Linked DNA regions of Danio rerio. The protein of the gene in region 1 binds, or shares a complex with, the protein of each later gene. Links are inferred from orthologs where the notes say so. Each region holds a gene or a part of one and is shown in the gene's direction. Other genes may lie near its edges.

Region 1 (3,500 bases):
ATTATTATTAACAAAGGATAGAATAATTAGTATAGATTAGAAAAAGCTGCTAATAAATTAGCAAACAGTTTAGCCTATTAAAAATAATAGCTATTCTAAAGAAATTCAATCAAGTTATCAAGTCTCATTAACCTTTTCTTCACTGTATAATTTAAACGTTGATTTAAGAGCCGTGAATGAATCTCTTATTTGTTTTTTGTTTTTTATTTGATTACATTTACAGAGGTGCCACTGTAAAAATGCACACATCTTATGAAAGCATGCCATTGCTTTCCTAACTGTTTATACTCATTTAAGACAAAATGTGTTGTGTTTAAAAGAACCCACCAAGATTGGCACATTTAGATGTTGTTGTTGTTGTTATTATTATTATTATAATTATTATTATTATGTATTTATGTCAGTTCAAACACGCACCCAAAACCCAGAGTGTCCACCTTTGCTCTGCTTCAAATCGAGTGTACAAAATGTGTTTGGGAAACGTCATCTATTTATCACTATGGAGTGTCTGACAGTCAAGCACCAATACATGAACTGTCTTTTTGAGGAGGGGCAACGGTGCCTGTAATGGAAAGGAAGGGAATTTTGCCTATTTATATTTATTTCAAAGTGTTTTTATGCCTAAATAAAATGAAAGTACAGAACAGATTTACATTTAAGAGCAAGGGGCGATCCCTGGTGGTTTGGCGGTATGGGTTGCGAATATGGAGGATTGGCCATCCTTCATAGAAAGATTGAAAAATGGGAGAAATATGGTAAAAAATATATATTTACAGGATGATAGCGGGAAAGAATTGTAAAATACAGGAAAAACGGGAAGGTTGACTGGTATGGTGTGCTTTAGTGCAGGAAGTTGGATATATATTAAAGCTCACAATAACAGCGCTATAATTAATTTCTCGGGTTTATGTAATACATTTAATTTGTTACACATTTTAGCTGTGAACTGTTACTTTTCCAGTTTTATGCACAATAATGCTGCAGTAAAGTACACTGAAAAAATTTACGTCTGCAAAACTATTGCAAAAATTAATTTGTTTTGAATTTAAACAAACAAATTAAGTGTAATAAAATTCAAATTAATTTGTTTGTTTAAATTCAGCCCATATAAATTGATTACAGCCACTTAACGTAAATAAATACATAAATCCAAGGAATCTCCTCTGAATAATTTTATTTTGTGTAAAAATGTGTCATATTCTTTAAAATATTTGAGTTAATTTATAAATAAATTAATCATATGTTTCCATTTCAGCTCGTGGTAGTAGAGCATCACAGGCTGACAATAGCAGTGCTAGTGGACACGACAGCTGGGAGTCACGTAGCAGTGGTCTGAGAGAGAGGAGCACAGAGAGGAACACTGATCGCGATCGCTATGATGACCGACCGAGAGGAGAGCAGCCCAGAGATGAACGACGGGGAGCACATAATGAGAGAGATCGCCGTGACAACAGAGAACGAGGTGACTAGTCAAGTGATGTACTTTTTATTATTAATTGCAATCAGCTTACTGCTGCTAATTATAGAACACATAATCATTTACAGTGTAGTCTTGGATGTTGAATTGCTTGAATCGTTGTTGTTTTCTTGTGCAAATAAAGATGCACAGTTTGACCAGCCAAGGTGTGAATGTGGCTCTATGTTCACGATTTGCAGCCACAGCAACCATAAAAACATTTGGTGCAACACCTTCATCTAAATAAACTATTCAGACTGTGTTCACACCAGACGTGACACACGCAGATAAATTGCATTATTCACGTGTAAATAGATGTGTGAACTTTTTGAATTTACTCTCTTTATTCGTGCGTCAAATCCACTTCATTCGCATGTTAAATCTGCTTCACAACAGATGTCGATTCGCATCGTGGGTAGGGCTTCTATCTGCCTGGTGACACTAGCTTCATTGCTAAATGACATGGATTTTATTGAAAGTATAACTGTCTTTATGTGCTTTATGTTGGCTGAAAAACAGCATAGATTCGCTGTGTCTGAGTCCATTAGATCCTTTCAGAGGTGCCCCCAGCTCTGTGAGTTCATAAACCCCTTTAGAAACTATACCTGGATGATGGAAGCTTTCAGCGGTGTTTCCCACTGAGCCGTGCCCACTATGATGAACTGTTGTCTTGTGTTGGCAGGAGGATTTTCCCCCAAGACACCAACAGCAGGCGCTACATGATAAGCATGCCGCTAGTTGCGTCATTCGCGCGCACTCATTCACGTGTATCGCACCGCAGTCTTTTTGTTGACTTGACATTTAAATCACTTGTGCTTGTCGCTTCTTCGGCGTCTAGTGTGAATGCAGCATAAGAATTTTGCCTGATTAATTTGATCATTTTTTAAAGTCATAATAAACGCTTTACTTTTGAGCTGTTTTTAAAATGATTGCTGCATGAGGAAAGAATTCTGCTAAACATCAGTTATAATTGAGTTTAGAGAGATAAAGGGCTCTTTTTTTAATGATCTAGGCAAAATCATTATGGGCGTGTCCAAATCCACTTCTGCTATTTTATGAATTGAAAAATACGCTTTGCGCCCTGGCACATGGTCTAACAGGGTTGTGCTTATTCTCTTAATGAGTTATGGGTAGGCCCACATGGAATCTGCACGTGCAAAAATCCACTGATTTGCACAGGTTTTTAGCCCATCATTAAGTCTATGTATTTACATGTGTTAATGTGCGTAAATTTATATTTATTCAATTCACATAATACGTGAATGGAAGTGAGGCGACGCAACTGACGCAGGTAGGTCACGTGACCATGACAAAATGGCGGATGTAGTACGTCCGAATTCCATTCATACTTTTCACATTCATACTGTATAGAATGTACTTTTCTAATGGCCGAGTAGTACGTTTAAATTCAAATGCAGTACCAACTGAGTAGAAGGCGGTTTCGGACACAGCCAAACACTTTTTAGTTGTAATGGAGTTTGTGGGAAACTGTGATGTTTATTTTTAACTGTTATGATTGGTTTATTTTTTATTTTTTTATTGTAAATATACTTCTATGTAAGAAAATTGGAAATTGCAAAAATCAGTATTGGCAGTTCACACTAACTGAAAAATCTGAAAACAGAATCAATCATGAAAAATTGCAGTTGGTGGATCTCTAAAATACTATAATTATCTACACAACTAGAAGTCCAGAGTCGCAACTATACTAGATGAAACTATTTTGTTTTCGGTAAACTGATGTTTGACTAAATGTGCCTTTGTTCAATGCTGAGAGATTGCACTTTTAGGCCTTTTTTATTTCTTTAAAGCTTGCTTTAAAGCACCTTAAGTTACAATTTGTGTATGACGTGCTAAATAAATAAACTCACCTTGCTTGACTGTAGATGGAAATTTATTTGGAGAAAATAAAACTTCTTTTTTTCAGCAGAACAAAGAGCGCCCTCTCCTGTCCGCCAGCAAAACCGTGGCGAGGATCTGGAGCGTGAAGAGAGAAGAGATGATCGTCGGAATGACAGAGGGGATGACAGACGAGATGATCGTA
Region 2 (4,135 bases), on another chromosome or scaffold:
TCTTTTGGTGAGATTCTGCAATGTGCTTCCAAGGGACTATTCCATAAGGCAACATGAGAGGATCTGTGAATGCCAGTGAAGTGACGTAACTGAAGATGTAGGGCACGTGACACTAAAACATGGCTAATCTTGTAGTTCTAGATTGTTCAAACAATACTATGTTCATTATGTAGGGCGTGTTTTCAAAGTATGTAGCCTACTCAAATACTCAAGAAAGTGTTTGATTTTGAATGCAGTTTGTGCATTGTAAAAAATAAATAAATGACACGTTGGCTGTTCAATTTGTCTTCTGGTGAATCAACATTGGATGAATGTGTTTATGTGCATGATAAAGTTTTTAAAATAGTTGTATTTTGTTTTATTATCACTCATTTAAGGTTTTGGACGTTTTTGTATTAAGTTCAAAGCATTGTCCTATAAATATATTCCTATTTTTCTTCATTGAAAAAAATAATAATTTGGGGGTAATTTTTTTTAATTTTGATGGTTGAATTGATAATTGTATAAGTTAAAACTATAATGGTCCCTGAGGGTATGAGTAAAGCATGCAAATTGTAAAACACTAAATTGTTTTAAGATAAATTTTAACTAATTTAAAGGCAATAACATTACTTTTATTTATTTATTTATTTATTTATTTTTTACAATTTAACATAAAAAAAAATTCACAGACATGGGCATATAATCAGAGATCTGCATTGTTTTAGTTAAGAAATTATTTCAGTTATTAGGCTAAAACCAATGGCTAAAACCCATGGAAAATGCTCATCTATAGCTGACCGACATGGTTAAAAGGCTGTTTTTTCACGTCCGTTCACCTCTGTGAAAGGCAAACACCACCATCTGTTGGACATCAAGTGAACAACGAGAATGTTTTAGTTTTTTTTTATTTGGATTACTTACGTTTTATAAAGATTGCACAGTTCATTTAAATTTATAAGAAATAACATGTAGGTGAAACTCAGACTCTTAGCATCTATTAAAGTTAAACACCGTTTAATTTTAAAAATAGCCTATACAAAGCACTCTTTGTAGATTTATCGAGATGATTAATAAATATGGTTTAAGAAGCAAATATAATATTGGCAGTACATGTTCTCAAAGACTATATGTGTGGTTAGTTGAATGTCACCTCTGTGTTTTATAAAGTGGCTATAGTAAACATTTGGCTTTTGAAGCTAAAATGGTGTACAGCGAGACTGGGCGCTGTACTAGTGCTTTAGATTGACAGACGGATCAGCCAATAGCGCTGTCGTTTCTCAGAGATTCAAACCAATCAAAGTCGACGGGCGGGTCATGTTTTAGTCTTGACAAGATGGCGTATGCGGTTGTTTTGCCGCAGGGACACTGAACAATTTATTCAGTTTATCGTGCAAATTCGTTGACGTTGCGGTAGCATTACAGTTAAAAAAGTGTTTTGTTAGGCGCGTGAAGCCAGAGGACATCTAACATGAAAGGTAAAGAGCGGTCGCCGGTGAAAAAACGTTCAAGGGCCTTGGATGATATACGAGACAGGGGAGGAAGCCATCCGACCAGTAAGAAAATGGGGGTTATCTCGAATTCTGGCGGAGGAAGCAACAACGGCAATAGTTCGTCTAAAAGCGACGGGGGCTCTGCACGACGGGGACTGCTTGGAGATAAAAGAGACGGACGGGAATTTGACGGACATGTATCCAGTCGGACTGGTAATAACCACGGTTACACGAGCCCTGTTGCGAGCTCAAGCGGCAAAAATCACGCCTCGAGTCTGTCCTTAGAGGCGGCGCGCACCAACTCGCGCGGGGAGGCGCGCGCACCGCTTCCCACAAACGAAAGTGAGTACAAAACTTTAAAAATCAGCGAGCTTGGCTCGCAGCTGAGTGACGAGGAAATCGAGGACGGCCTCTTTCATGAATTCAAAAAATTTGGTGACGTGAGCGTCAAAATCAGCCGAGTGAACGACGAGAGAATCGCATTCGTCAACTTTAGGAGACCGGATGATGCCAGGGCGGCAAAGCACGCACGAGGCCGGCTGGTGCTCTACGACCGTCCTTTAAAAATCGAGGCAGTTTACTTGAACAGGCGGAGGAGTCGCTCTCCGGTGAAGGAGGATCATTTCTCTGTTGTTGCAGGCCATAGACATTTGCATACTCAGAGGCCGCTCTCTCCAACCGGCCTGGGCTACAGGGACTACCGGTTACAGCAGTTAGCACTGGGTCGGCTTCCTCCTCCCCCACCCCCGCCTCTGCCCAGAGAGCTGGAAAGAGAAAGAGAGTTTGCCTTTTATGAAGCGAGGGCGCGGCCCGCATACATAGCAGAGCGAGCCGCTCCTTTCCGTGAGGAGGACTTTATCTCTCCAGAGGACGACCAGAGAGCCAACCGCACACTGTTTTTGGGTAACTTGGATATTACTGTGACTGAAAACGATTTGAGGAGGGCTTTTGAACGATTTGGGACAATCACTGAGGTGGACATTAAAAGACCCACTCGTGGCCAGAGCAGCACCTATGGCTTCCTTAAATTTGAGAATTTGGACATGGCTCACAGAGCTAAAATTAGCATGTCTGGGAAAGTTGTGGGCCGAAACCCCATAAAAATTGGATATGGTAAAGCCACCCCAACCACAAGACTATGGGTGGGTGGTCTTGGCCCTTGGGTGCCTCTGACTGCATTAGCCCGGGAATTTGACCGCTTTGGAACTATTAGGACTATAGACTACAGAAAAGGGGACACCTGGGCTTATATTCAGTATGAAAGCCTGGACGCTGCTCAGGCAGCCTGCACACACATGCGTGGATTTCCTCTTGGTGGTCCTGACAGGAGGCTGAGGGTGGACTTTGCTGACACAGAGCATCGCTACCAACAACAGTTCTTGCAGCCCCTCCCCCTGCAACATTATGAAATCATGGCTGAGTCTTTCGTTCATCGTGCCACCCCTGAAGCCATCAGGGTCAGAGAACGGACTCCTCCGCCACTGCACTTCAGAGAAAGAGAACTCTATGCTGGGGCTGAGTGGCCAGCACCTACTATTCGTGAACGTGTACGAACTCCTGCATTTGAGCCCCTTGAACACTTAGAGCGTGAACGACGGCGAGAGGCCTGGTCACTGGAGCGAGAGCTGCCAGGCAGAGAAGCTGCACGAAAACGGCGGCTCATGGAGGACGGCAGACATCTGGAGTGTTCGCCTGACAGCAGCAGTGAGTGGGCGGCCCGCCGTCGCAGACCCCCGTCGCTTGAGGGCAGCCCAGGCGGCAGCAGCCGAGACGGACGTTTCAGTGACTCTGAGCGTCCAGCGAGAGCAGACCGGGTGTCCCCAGCACGAGAGAGCCGCAGCAGCCTGGACCGAGTTCCCGGTGAGAAACGCATCAAAAGCAACAGCAACCTCTCTGAGTCCAGCATCGGCGCAAGCCCTGCAGAACGAAAGCGCAAAGCGGGCGATTCAGCTAAAGGTGCATCCAAGAGGGACAGATCCGAAAGCAGCTCCAAAAGCAACCAAGCTTCAAAACAGGACGCAGGGGGGAAGCTGAGCATGGCCTGGAATGGCATGCTGCTCCTCAAGAACAGTAACTTCCCAGCCAGCATGCACCTCCTGGAGGGGGACCTGAGCGTCGCCACCAGCCTTCTCATCGACGGCAGCACGGGTGGAAAAGTCTCTCAGCTGCGCATCACACAACGGCTTCGTCTAGACCAGCCCAAGATCGACGAGGTGTCTCGGCGCATCAAAGTGGCAGGCCCAGGAGGCTACGCAGTTCTACTGGCAGTTCCAGGCAGCTCTGAGGAGACTTCATCATCAGACCCAGCAGCATCCACGCAGAGGCCTCTCCGCAACCTGGTTTCATACCTGAAGCAAAAGCAGGCCGCCGGGGTCATCAGTTTGCCCGTCGGCGGCAGTAGAGATAAGGACAACACTGGCGTCCTGCACGCATTTCCACCATGTGATTTCTCTCAGCAGTTCTTAGATTCTTCTGCGAAAGCTCTTGCCAAAACAGAAGAGGACTTCCTGGTCATGATCGTTGTGCGAGGAGCATCTTAACAGTCATAATACACACTAAAGTATTGTTAAATGCAAGCTTCTCTTAATGTCTCTTAATTGCATGCTCTCTAAAGCAGAAGTGGTACTAGAGTAAAGGGCAGCTGTTGTTACCTGCTCTGCCAA
Region 3 (4,359 bases), on another chromosome or scaffold:
GAACTGGAACAGACTAAAGACAAACTGGAGCAAGCCCAAAATGAACTGAGTGCCTGGAAATTTACACCTGATAGGTAAACTAAAATAACTCCCCCCTCCAAACAAAAAGTCAAGACTTTCCTGATTCACCCCCACCTTCTCCTCTGCAGGAGTGCAGATAATGGTGGGGGAAGACTGAAATGTGTTGCTCACAACGAGACTCAGACTTTAAAGCAAAAAAGCTCAGAACAAAAGACATTTTTCTTTTGTATTGCCCTGCTATTACACATACCGTAATGTAAAATCAGAACAGAACACGGCAGTTTGGTCAGGTGACACTTTTGTTTCAGCTCTTTCTCTCCCCCCCACACCCCTCATGGTACAGAAGCCTGAAGGAATCGGGACTGTTCCTGAAGAGGTGGTCACGTCGGAAACTCAGCCCGTGTTAGAAAGCTTCCTGTAACAAATAAGGCGGCCTATGAAAGACTTGAGCAAAGCGTTGGCTCTGGAGCTGGTTGAACTGTAGTTTGCAGGTCACTGATTGAACATTTAAAACATGACATGGCCCAACTAAATGTGTTGCAGAGGAAAATGCCCCCATATAAACTCCATCATAGATGCTTTGAGACTCTGGTTAAGAATCTAGAATGTAAAACAGGGAGGCGGGAATGTAGTGTGATGCAATGAAATGGGGGTGGAGTTAAGCAATCTTAAGACTTTGGGGGAGAAAGCCTTTATGATGTAAGACTTTGGGGGAGGAATCAGACATTCTGATCTGCAAAGACTTTCATATATGTTCATCTCACAGGTGCGACATACGGTACAGTGTCTTAAACCTTTTATCTTTTTTTGTGTTCGTAATATTATACTTTGTTTTTGCTCTGGAAACACTCCTTGCATTCACAGTAGAGTGGTCCAAACGAATTGAATTTATTTAAAATTGGCTGTTGCACTGCTGTGGATGCGAATATAATTGTTCTTTTCGATGTGAATGCAAATGTGCCATGTGTGATAGTAATATGTGTGAATAGTACAGCTATTCAATGTTCAAATGTCTGTGTATGATCATTTGTATTTTAACTTGTGTACCTTTCTAATCCACTTTTTATTTTTCGGTCATCCAGTGAAAGTTTAATTTTCTTTTTTTTTTTCTCTCAGGTCACAAATTTTTTGCAGGTATTTTGCTCATTAGAAATGTTCTAGCAAAATCTTACACTTCAACTTTGTTGGATTTCCTATCTGAGTGAATCAAAAGTAGTTGAAAATATTTAGTCAAAAGTCTTTTGAAATATTGACTGCTCTAAAGTGGCATAAAGAATTAAGCGGTTGTCATTGGAAGTTAGTTGTAGGATTCCCATAAAAGTTGCTGAATTGGTTTAAGGAAATTGTTTGTATTTGATTGTTGTTACATTTGATCTCAAACTGCTCTTAAATGTAAAATGTGAGCATTCGTTCTGAAGAGAGTTTAAGTCTTATTGTTTAAGGACAGTAGTGTTACTGCTGTATCTGGCAGAAAAGCACTCAAGTATATTCTAATACTAAAGAAAACATCAACATATCAGTATAATCTTTGCCAAGTTTTTTACTGGAAATAGGTTAAAGGTGCTGCTAATTTAAATGAAGCGCTCTGGCCATGCAACTTTATTGCATCTTTGTAATATTTTGCAGTGATAAGAAATTGATCTGCCTACTGTCAAGACTCTTTGTCATGTAGTATAGAACCAGTCATTTTTTTAATCAACTGATGCAGATATTGTTGGTAGCTCGTAGCTACTTTTAGATTAACAGGTAGGTACTAATAGTCACTGAAATGGAAATTGCTAATTGGTTTTGTACCATGGTCAATTACCTGGAGTACTATCCTGTTAGATGCGTTCAGATGTATTGCACTTGTTGGTTTACTTGATTTGGTCTGCCAAATGTTCATGCATCTTTTCCCAGTATTGTTTAAACTGTTACTTGATTTTCTTGATTGTTGTTGAGTATGTTTACATGCACACCAGGAAACTGCTTATTGCGAAAGATTTGTGAAAGTATCATTGTGCTGACATGTTTTGTCAAAGCAGCATATACCTGTGGCACGATTAGCATTTATTTGGCTGCCTGATCTTTTTCCATGCACTCTTCAAAAAGCTGCCTATGCATTTACATGACTACATAAGACACAATCTCTGCTAGCATTCTGCCAATGTTAAATCATGTTGACTTTCTTAAGAATACCAAGCTGTTTTCATTAGTGCTTGTAAACATACTCTAATGGTCAACTATATTTACCAGTCCGAAGACCAGTGTGGCCATTGGAGAGTTGGAAGCTATTTCTGGTTGTTACCTTCTAGTTTGTAAATGCAATGGTCACTTGTGTTGACCCTGTGGCCATGTTCACGATGTGATGTTAGACTTGTTTCCCTTGCAGCCAGACTGGTAAGAAGCTGATGGCGAAATGTCGCATGCTGATCCAGGAGAATCAGGAGTTGGGTAGGCAGCTTTCCCAAGGGCGCATAGCCCAGTTGGAGGCCGAGCTTGCCTTGCAGAAGAAGTACAGCGAAGAGCTCAAAAGCAGCCAAGATGGTGAGCGAAAGTCTTTCTTTGGTCAACTCCATTCTGGATTGTTTTGAGCAGATCTCCACTCATCTTTGTGTGTTCTCTTTTTTTACCCATGTATTTTTGTGGTCCAGAGCTGAATGACTTCATCATTCAGCTGGATGAGGAGGTGGAGGGCATGCAGAGCACCATCCTGGTTCTGCAGCAGCAGCTGAGGGAGACCAGGCAGCAGCTGTCTCAGATGAACCAAACCCAAGGCACTTCTAGTGGAGCTGGCCCAAGCAGAACTTCCCCTTCAACAGCCTCCGAACCTTCCACTCAGAGTGAACCAGCCAACGCCTCCAGTTCAAATGTGGGGAAAGACTGCGGAAGGGTGTCCAATGGACCCTCCAATGGGAACTCATCTCAGAGGGGTGCATCTGGCTCTAGTTTGTACAGGGAAGCAAGCAGTGCAGATGAAGATTACCCTCCATCACCCTCTGTCTCCAGCCCCACCCATGATGGCATATCAAAACTCTCCAACCACTCAGAAGATGCAGTGAGCCAGAGGGGTGGAGAAGGGTACGTGACTCAGCTAAGTGCAGGCTATGAGAGCGTGGACTCGCCTACAGGCAGTGAGACGTCAGTGACCCAGCACTCGAACGATACAGACTCCAATGCTGACTCCCACGAGGCCGCTGCTGTCCCCAAAGGCAGCAGGACTGCAGGTACGCGGCACAGCACTCAGAATGGCCTGGACTCATCTGCAGCAGCAGTTGCCACCAACACCTCCAATGCCTCTGCAGGGTCTGTTTTGTAACATTCTTCTAGTTTCTGTTCATTTTTTTTTTTTTTAAGTAACTCACAACAAATAAACAAAACAACCCGTCACACTTCAGGCCAGTTAGTTCTTGTTCAAGAAGTGGTCAAAAGCATCACTTTTGTTTTGTACCCTCCTTCCCATCATAACCTATTTCAGTACATTTGCTACATGCTCGAAACTGATTACGTTTATAAAATGAGCAACACTGCGTTTGTATATTTGATTTTTTTTAATGAGAGTTTTAAACCATTTTCCTCTGTCGAAGTGATATAAACACTCGGTTCTGTACTGTTCATTTGCTCACTTGCTAGAACTCTGAATGATTTAGCTATGTGTGATGTATCAATGCTCAAGTCTTGAAACTGCAAGTTCAGAGTCCTTAGTTTCCTGATGTTGAACTTTTTTTGTTCCTCTACATGACGAGAGAAAACGTTTTTGTTTGACTTGTGTGTAGTTTTTCAAGACGTATCTTGTTAAATTCTGATTTCGATCCTTTTCATGTACTGACCAAATATCAATAAAGAGTTTTAATATGACTCTGTTCTTGCTTTGTTTTTCTGCCTTGAATTGTCAAAATGATTGTCTAACAACATCAAGTTAATGAATTAAATAAAAGTTTGATGTTCTGCTGTAAAGTGACATTTTAATAAACAACTGATTTGTAGAGAAGATTGGGGTTTAGGTTTTAGTTAGCCGTCCACACCGTTAGATGGCGCTACCTCAAAATAAAACCAATGCATCCTACTTTTGTGTCCTGATGACGACAAAGCTTTCGTATTCGTTTATCAAATGAATGGGACACCGAGAAGTAGGACGTTCCGCAGTACAACCTGCATTCAGACAGAGTCAGCCTACCAAGCACATAACCAACCTACCGGACAGCAAAGATGAACACGGATGCGATTGTTATCGTTTCTGCCGCAAGGACTCCTATAGGTAAACTTAATCTCATATATCCTATCTTTATGGCTCTTTTCTCACAATACTAAGTAACGTTACATTCTACCTTTTAGCTGTTATCTGCAGCTTGTTTATGG
Region 4 (4,129 bases), on another chromosome or scaffold:
GGCTACTTCCAGAAGGATAATACCTGGTAATATGCTAAATGCATCCATCATAAACAGAAATGCAATGTGGTCAAAGAGAAATCGATGCCTTTTTTAAGCCAAAAGGGAGCCTAACATGGTACTGGCAAGGCTATTAATTAATTATTAAAATGCATTTATTTTTCCTATTAAAACTAAGATAGATTTGATGAAAATGTTTAAATGTGTGTGTGTGTGTGTGTATGTATGTATGTATATATATATATATATATATATATATATATATATATATATATATATATATATATATATTTATTTATTTATTTTTATTTTTATTTATTTTTTTTTTTTACCTTTATTATATACTGGTTTGCCATCATTATATTCTTATTAATAGGACAGTTCACCCAAAAGTGAAAATTTACTCACAATCACTTGGTTTCATACCTTTATGAGATTCCTCTTTCTGTTGAACATTAAAGAAGATATTTTGAAAAATGTTATAATGTTGTAACTATCGACTTCCAAAGTAGAAATCAAACACTATGGAAGTCAATGGTCACAGTTTTGTAAATTTTCTTCTTATTTCTTGTTCAACAGAAACAAAAACTCAAACAAGTTTCTGACAGGTAAAGGGATGAAGAAAATTATGAGAGAATTTTCAGTTTTGGGTGAACTATCCCTTTTATAAAATTAATAATAATAATATCTAAAATATATTGTTGTCTTAATATGCATACACATGCAGGAAGATACAATCAACAAAGTGTTGGTGGGGCTGTTTACTTTGCATTTAAGCTGTTTACTTTCCATTTAAGTTTACTATACACAAGAACACAAATACATAGTAGAAAAAAATACATATGGCACATTTCTTTCTTGTTTTTCAAATAAAACATTCAATAACACAGCAATTAATTAAAAAAAAAGTCTTGAAGCAGAAAAAAATCATAAATAATGCATCACTTTAAAAAACTTCTACATGCCACTAACGTCATACAATTGTTCATGAAGCCCTCATTCATTATATTGACACTGAAGCTGAAACTACGGATTGGGGTAAAACACCTTGATATGGATGGCCGAGTTATTCCGGGTACGGGTCAGATGCTCTCCGGCCTCGTCCGGATCTTCAGGCTCCAGGTCGTCGATGAGCTCCACCGTGGAGGTGTTTGCGGCGAGTTGCAGGGCGCCCTGGCTGGACGTCTGGAGCTGCAGAGCGATGTTTATAGCCCGGTTGATGGCCAGTCCCAGGCCGTGGATGCAGATTTCCCTGTGAGCGTCCAGAAGTTTCTGACACCTCGCTAGCTGAGCCTTGAAGTCAGTCTTCATGTTGACATAGACGTCGTTCCTCCGTTTGGGCAGTTTGCGAGGCAGTCGCTTGCGGAGGGTGAACTCTATTGGGTCCATCTCAAGGGTCGAGCCCTCGGGGGCAGCCAGGACTATTGGATTGTGGGGCACAGAAGCGGACACCGGGCTTCGTGGCTCAGCCATGTCGAATCACCTGAAAGGTGCTGCACAAACAGAACATTAATTCGCGTTTTAAAGATAAGACTCGTAACAATTTTACATATAAATGATGTGTGAATTATATTTTAACGACATGTATTTAAACGATTCCCCACAATGAACCGACTCATATGAATCATCCATTCGTGAATGGCTATATACACTGGGCGTGCATTATATTTCAGGGTATAACGCTGTATATTAAATAAGATATTACATCCACATCACATTCGAGAAACATTTTGTTTACGAAGCAGGTTCTCATTTACACAAACATTTCCAATTCATTGCCACTTAAGTTAGTGGATATAGATTTTAATATATAATGTTTGATGTATAATTTGGGATTTTGAGTAAGAGTAGTACCTTGAATTAGAAGAGCTTGTTTCAGATCCGCGCTTAATTCCTGGTAGATAAAGAATCTGCTTATTTACAGATCTGTCTTATCTCTCATTCCGGAAGACGTCTTGCGTACACTGGAAGTAATACACTATGTGATTACAAAATACATACTGTTCTTTTCTTGGTGGGGAAATATCTATTTTTATTTCGTATATCAAATAGTTATAATTGAATCCTAATTAAAAATATATATGAGTTAAAATACGTAAAAATATAAAAGTACCTGTATGAACGAGATCGTTGCTAATCAGTAAATATAGTTAGTGTCTCTTATTTTGAAAATAGAAACAGTTTAGCGGCACGGTGTGTATGGTGGTACAGTCACTCAGCGTTAGTTTGCTAGATGTAATCTAAACTTCATAAAACCCCTGTTTAATCAGTACTGTTTGTTTATTTGCTGTTTAGCTCGTTTAATTTAAGCCATGTCGGACACATGGAGTCACATCCAGGCGCACAAAAAGCAGCTGGATTCACTACGAGAGAGGCTGCAGAGGAGAAGAAAAGACCCAACTCAACTGGGCACTGGTGTGTTGAGTAATTTTACATTATCTGATATCTGAAAAATAAAATGTGTATTTTTAACTGTTTGTGTGATATGTAAAAACAAAGAAGACAGTTTTATGATTTTTATTATCATATCACTTTTTAAATGTATTAAAAATTGTAAAACATCCAGGGCATATCTTTATCGTTAACAATAAAATAAGAGATAATGATGATATGTACAGGCAACGTCGTGAGTTGTATGCTCAAGCAAATATGTAGGTGAGAGAACGTTATGTATTAATAACAGGTTAAGATAAGTCCCTTTAGAGCAAATTGTAATTGTTTTTATACAGCTCTTTTGTGGTTTTACGTTTAGCTGAAAGAGTCTCCTTAAGCTGCAGGTTGTGTAAAATGACTATGAGGATTGTGCTTCATTTTTTTATTATTCTGTTAGGCAAGAGTACAACCATTCCCTGCTTTAATGACAAATGTGATGTATGAATTTATTTGTCAGCTGGAGAACATACATAACAATATGTTGTTGACAAATCCTAGACCTAAAGATGTTCGATATCAGTCCTCTGTGAGAAATATTAGCGTAACTGTTATTTTTAATGTATAATGTATAATTAATGTATCATTTTCAATGTAAAATTATATAACTTACTATTTTCCCAGTGTTGTGTTGCAGCTAGAAGGACATCCCGCTTCATTCCGCTGTGGCGACCCCAAATTAATAAAGGGACTAATCCGAAAAGAAAATGAATGAATGAATAATTTACTGTTTTGCATGTTATTGTGTGTTTTCTTTCTTTTCTTGTTTTATTTGCTAAACATTAAACTACCTTTGTAAACCACGTTTCTGATATAATCAGATTTATTTACTTGAATTCAAATGCTAAACGTGGAAATATCTAATACTATCAGAAGTGTACTATCAAAATGGTAAAAACATTTGAATGTATGCTAAAAGAAAGTTCAGCGGTGTCGAAATAGTGAGTCTATGATGCCACCTGCTGTATGAGAATTTCCTAACAGTTCTTATTTTAACAGAGGTTGGAAGTGTTGAGAGTGGATCTGCAAGAAGTGACAGCCCGGGACCAGCAATTCAGAGTCCTCCACAAGTAGAAGTTGAGCATCCTCCAGACCCAGAGCTAGAGAAGAGGCTGCTGGGATACCTCTCTGAACTGAGCCTTTCCCTGCCAACTGATTCCCTAACGATCACCAACCAGCTAAATACAGTAAGAGCTGTGTGCACTAACAGCTATGAATCTGAACCCATATCTTTTTATTATTATTATTATTATTATTATTATTATTATTAATAATATTATTCCACCCTTTTTTAGAATAACTGTTAGATTGTCAAAAAGTGTTAAAGGAATACTACTCTTTTTTTTTTTTTTTTAATAGACTCATTTAACAAGACCCCAAGAGTTAAACTGTTACGATTTTAATCATAGATATCTATGTGGAGCACTTTTAGCTTAGCTTAGCTTAGCATAGATAATTGAATCAGATTAGACTATTAGCATCTTGCTCAAAAAAAGTATTTTGATTATTTTCCTATTTAAAGCTTGACTCTTCTGTAGTTACATTGTGTAACAAGACTGACAGAAAATGAAAAGTTGCTATTTTTTAGGCTTATTAGTCTAATAAATAGCATTCTGGCATAACAATTAACAAACTTTACTGTTACTTTTATCAATAGTGCTGTGTAATGTCATTGCGCCTGCTGCGTCCATGGTACGAC

Evidence for each region.
Region 2: zc3h13 (region 1) and rbm15 share a complex: the UniProt entries of both Homo sapiens proteins name them as parts of the WMM complex. The link is inferred for Danio rerio from reciprocal best matches to the Homo sapiens genes ZC3H13 and RBM15.
Region 3: the proteins of zc3h13 (region 1) and wtap are in contact, whole or in part, in a cryo-EM structure (PDB 7VF2), measured with the Homo sapiens proteins. The link is inferred for Danio rerio from reciprocal best matches to the Homo sapiens genes ZC3H13 and WTAP. Residues at the interface, in NP_001317494.1 of Homo sapiens: Arg1512, Pro1514, Gly1515, Ala1516, Ala1517, Leu1518, Lys1520, Phe1521; in NP_001257460.1 of Homo sapiens: Asp202, Glu203, Asp206, Phe207, Gln210.
Region 4: zc3h13 (region 1) and mettl3 share a complex: the UniProt entries of both Homo sapiens proteins name them as parts of the WMM complex. The link is inferred for Danio rerio from reciprocal best matches to the Homo sapiens genes ZC3H13 and METTL3.

The regions. Positions count from the first base shown.
Region 1 is NC_133176.1:33,368,725-33,372,224, forward strand, and holds part of zc3h13 (zinc finger CCCH domain-containing protein 13), read left to right. Parts: intron 1-1,255; coding exon 1,256-1,462; intron 1,463-3,383; coding exon of another isoform or gene 3,384-3,386; coding exon 3,387-3,500. UniProt on the Homo sapiens protein: Associated component of the WMM complex, a complex that mediates N6-methyladenosine (m6A) methylation of RNAs, a modification that plays a role in the efficiency of mRNA splicing and RNA processing.
Region 2 is NC_133183.1:26,684,696-26,688,830, reverse strand, and holds the start of rbm15 (RNA-binding protein 15), read left to right. Parts: upstream 1-1,303; 5' UTR 1,304-1,450; coding exon 1,451-4,012; 3' UTR 4,013-4,135. UniProt on the Homo sapiens protein: RNA-binding protein that acts as a key regulator of N6-methyladenosine (m6A) methylation of RNAs, thereby regulating different processes, such as hematopoietic cell homeostasis, alternative splicing of mRNAs and X chromosome inactivation mediated by Xist RNA.
Region 3 is NC_133195.1:33,717,517-33,721,875, reverse strand, and holds the end of wtap (pre-mRNA-splicing regulator WTAP), read left to right. Parts: coding exon 1-74; exon of another isoform or gene 75-799; intron 800-2,392; coding exon 2,393-2,547; intron 2,548-2,654; coding exon 2,655-3,319; 3' UTR 3,320-3,858; downstream 3,859-4,359. UniProt on the Homo sapiens protein: Associated component of the WMM complex, a complex that mediates N6-methyladenosine (m6A) methylation of RNAs, a modification that plays a role in the efficiency of mRNA splicing and RNA processing.
Region 4 is NC_133182.1:21,870,000-21,874,128, reverse strand, and holds the start of mettl3 (N(6)-adenosine-methyltransferase subunit METTL3), read left to right. Parts: upstream 1-1,473; 5' UTR 1,474-1,490; exon of another isoform or gene 1,491-1,493; intron 1,494-1,854; exon of another isoform or gene 1,855-2,193; intron 2,194-2,210; exon of another isoform or gene 2,211-2,295; 5' UTR 2,296-2,312; coding exon 2,313-2,415; intron 2,416-3,429; coding exon 3,430-3,617; intron 3,618-4,129. Other genes in the region: pop7 (ribonuclease P protein subunit p20), read right to left, coding at 1,027-1,473. UniProt on the Homo sapiens protein: The METTL3-METTL14 heterodimer forms a N6-methyltransferase complex that methylates adenosine residues at the N(6) position of some RNAs and regulates various processes such as the circadian clock, differentiation of embryonic and hematopoietic stem cells, cortical neurogenesis, response to DNA damage, differentiation of T-cells and primary miRNA processing.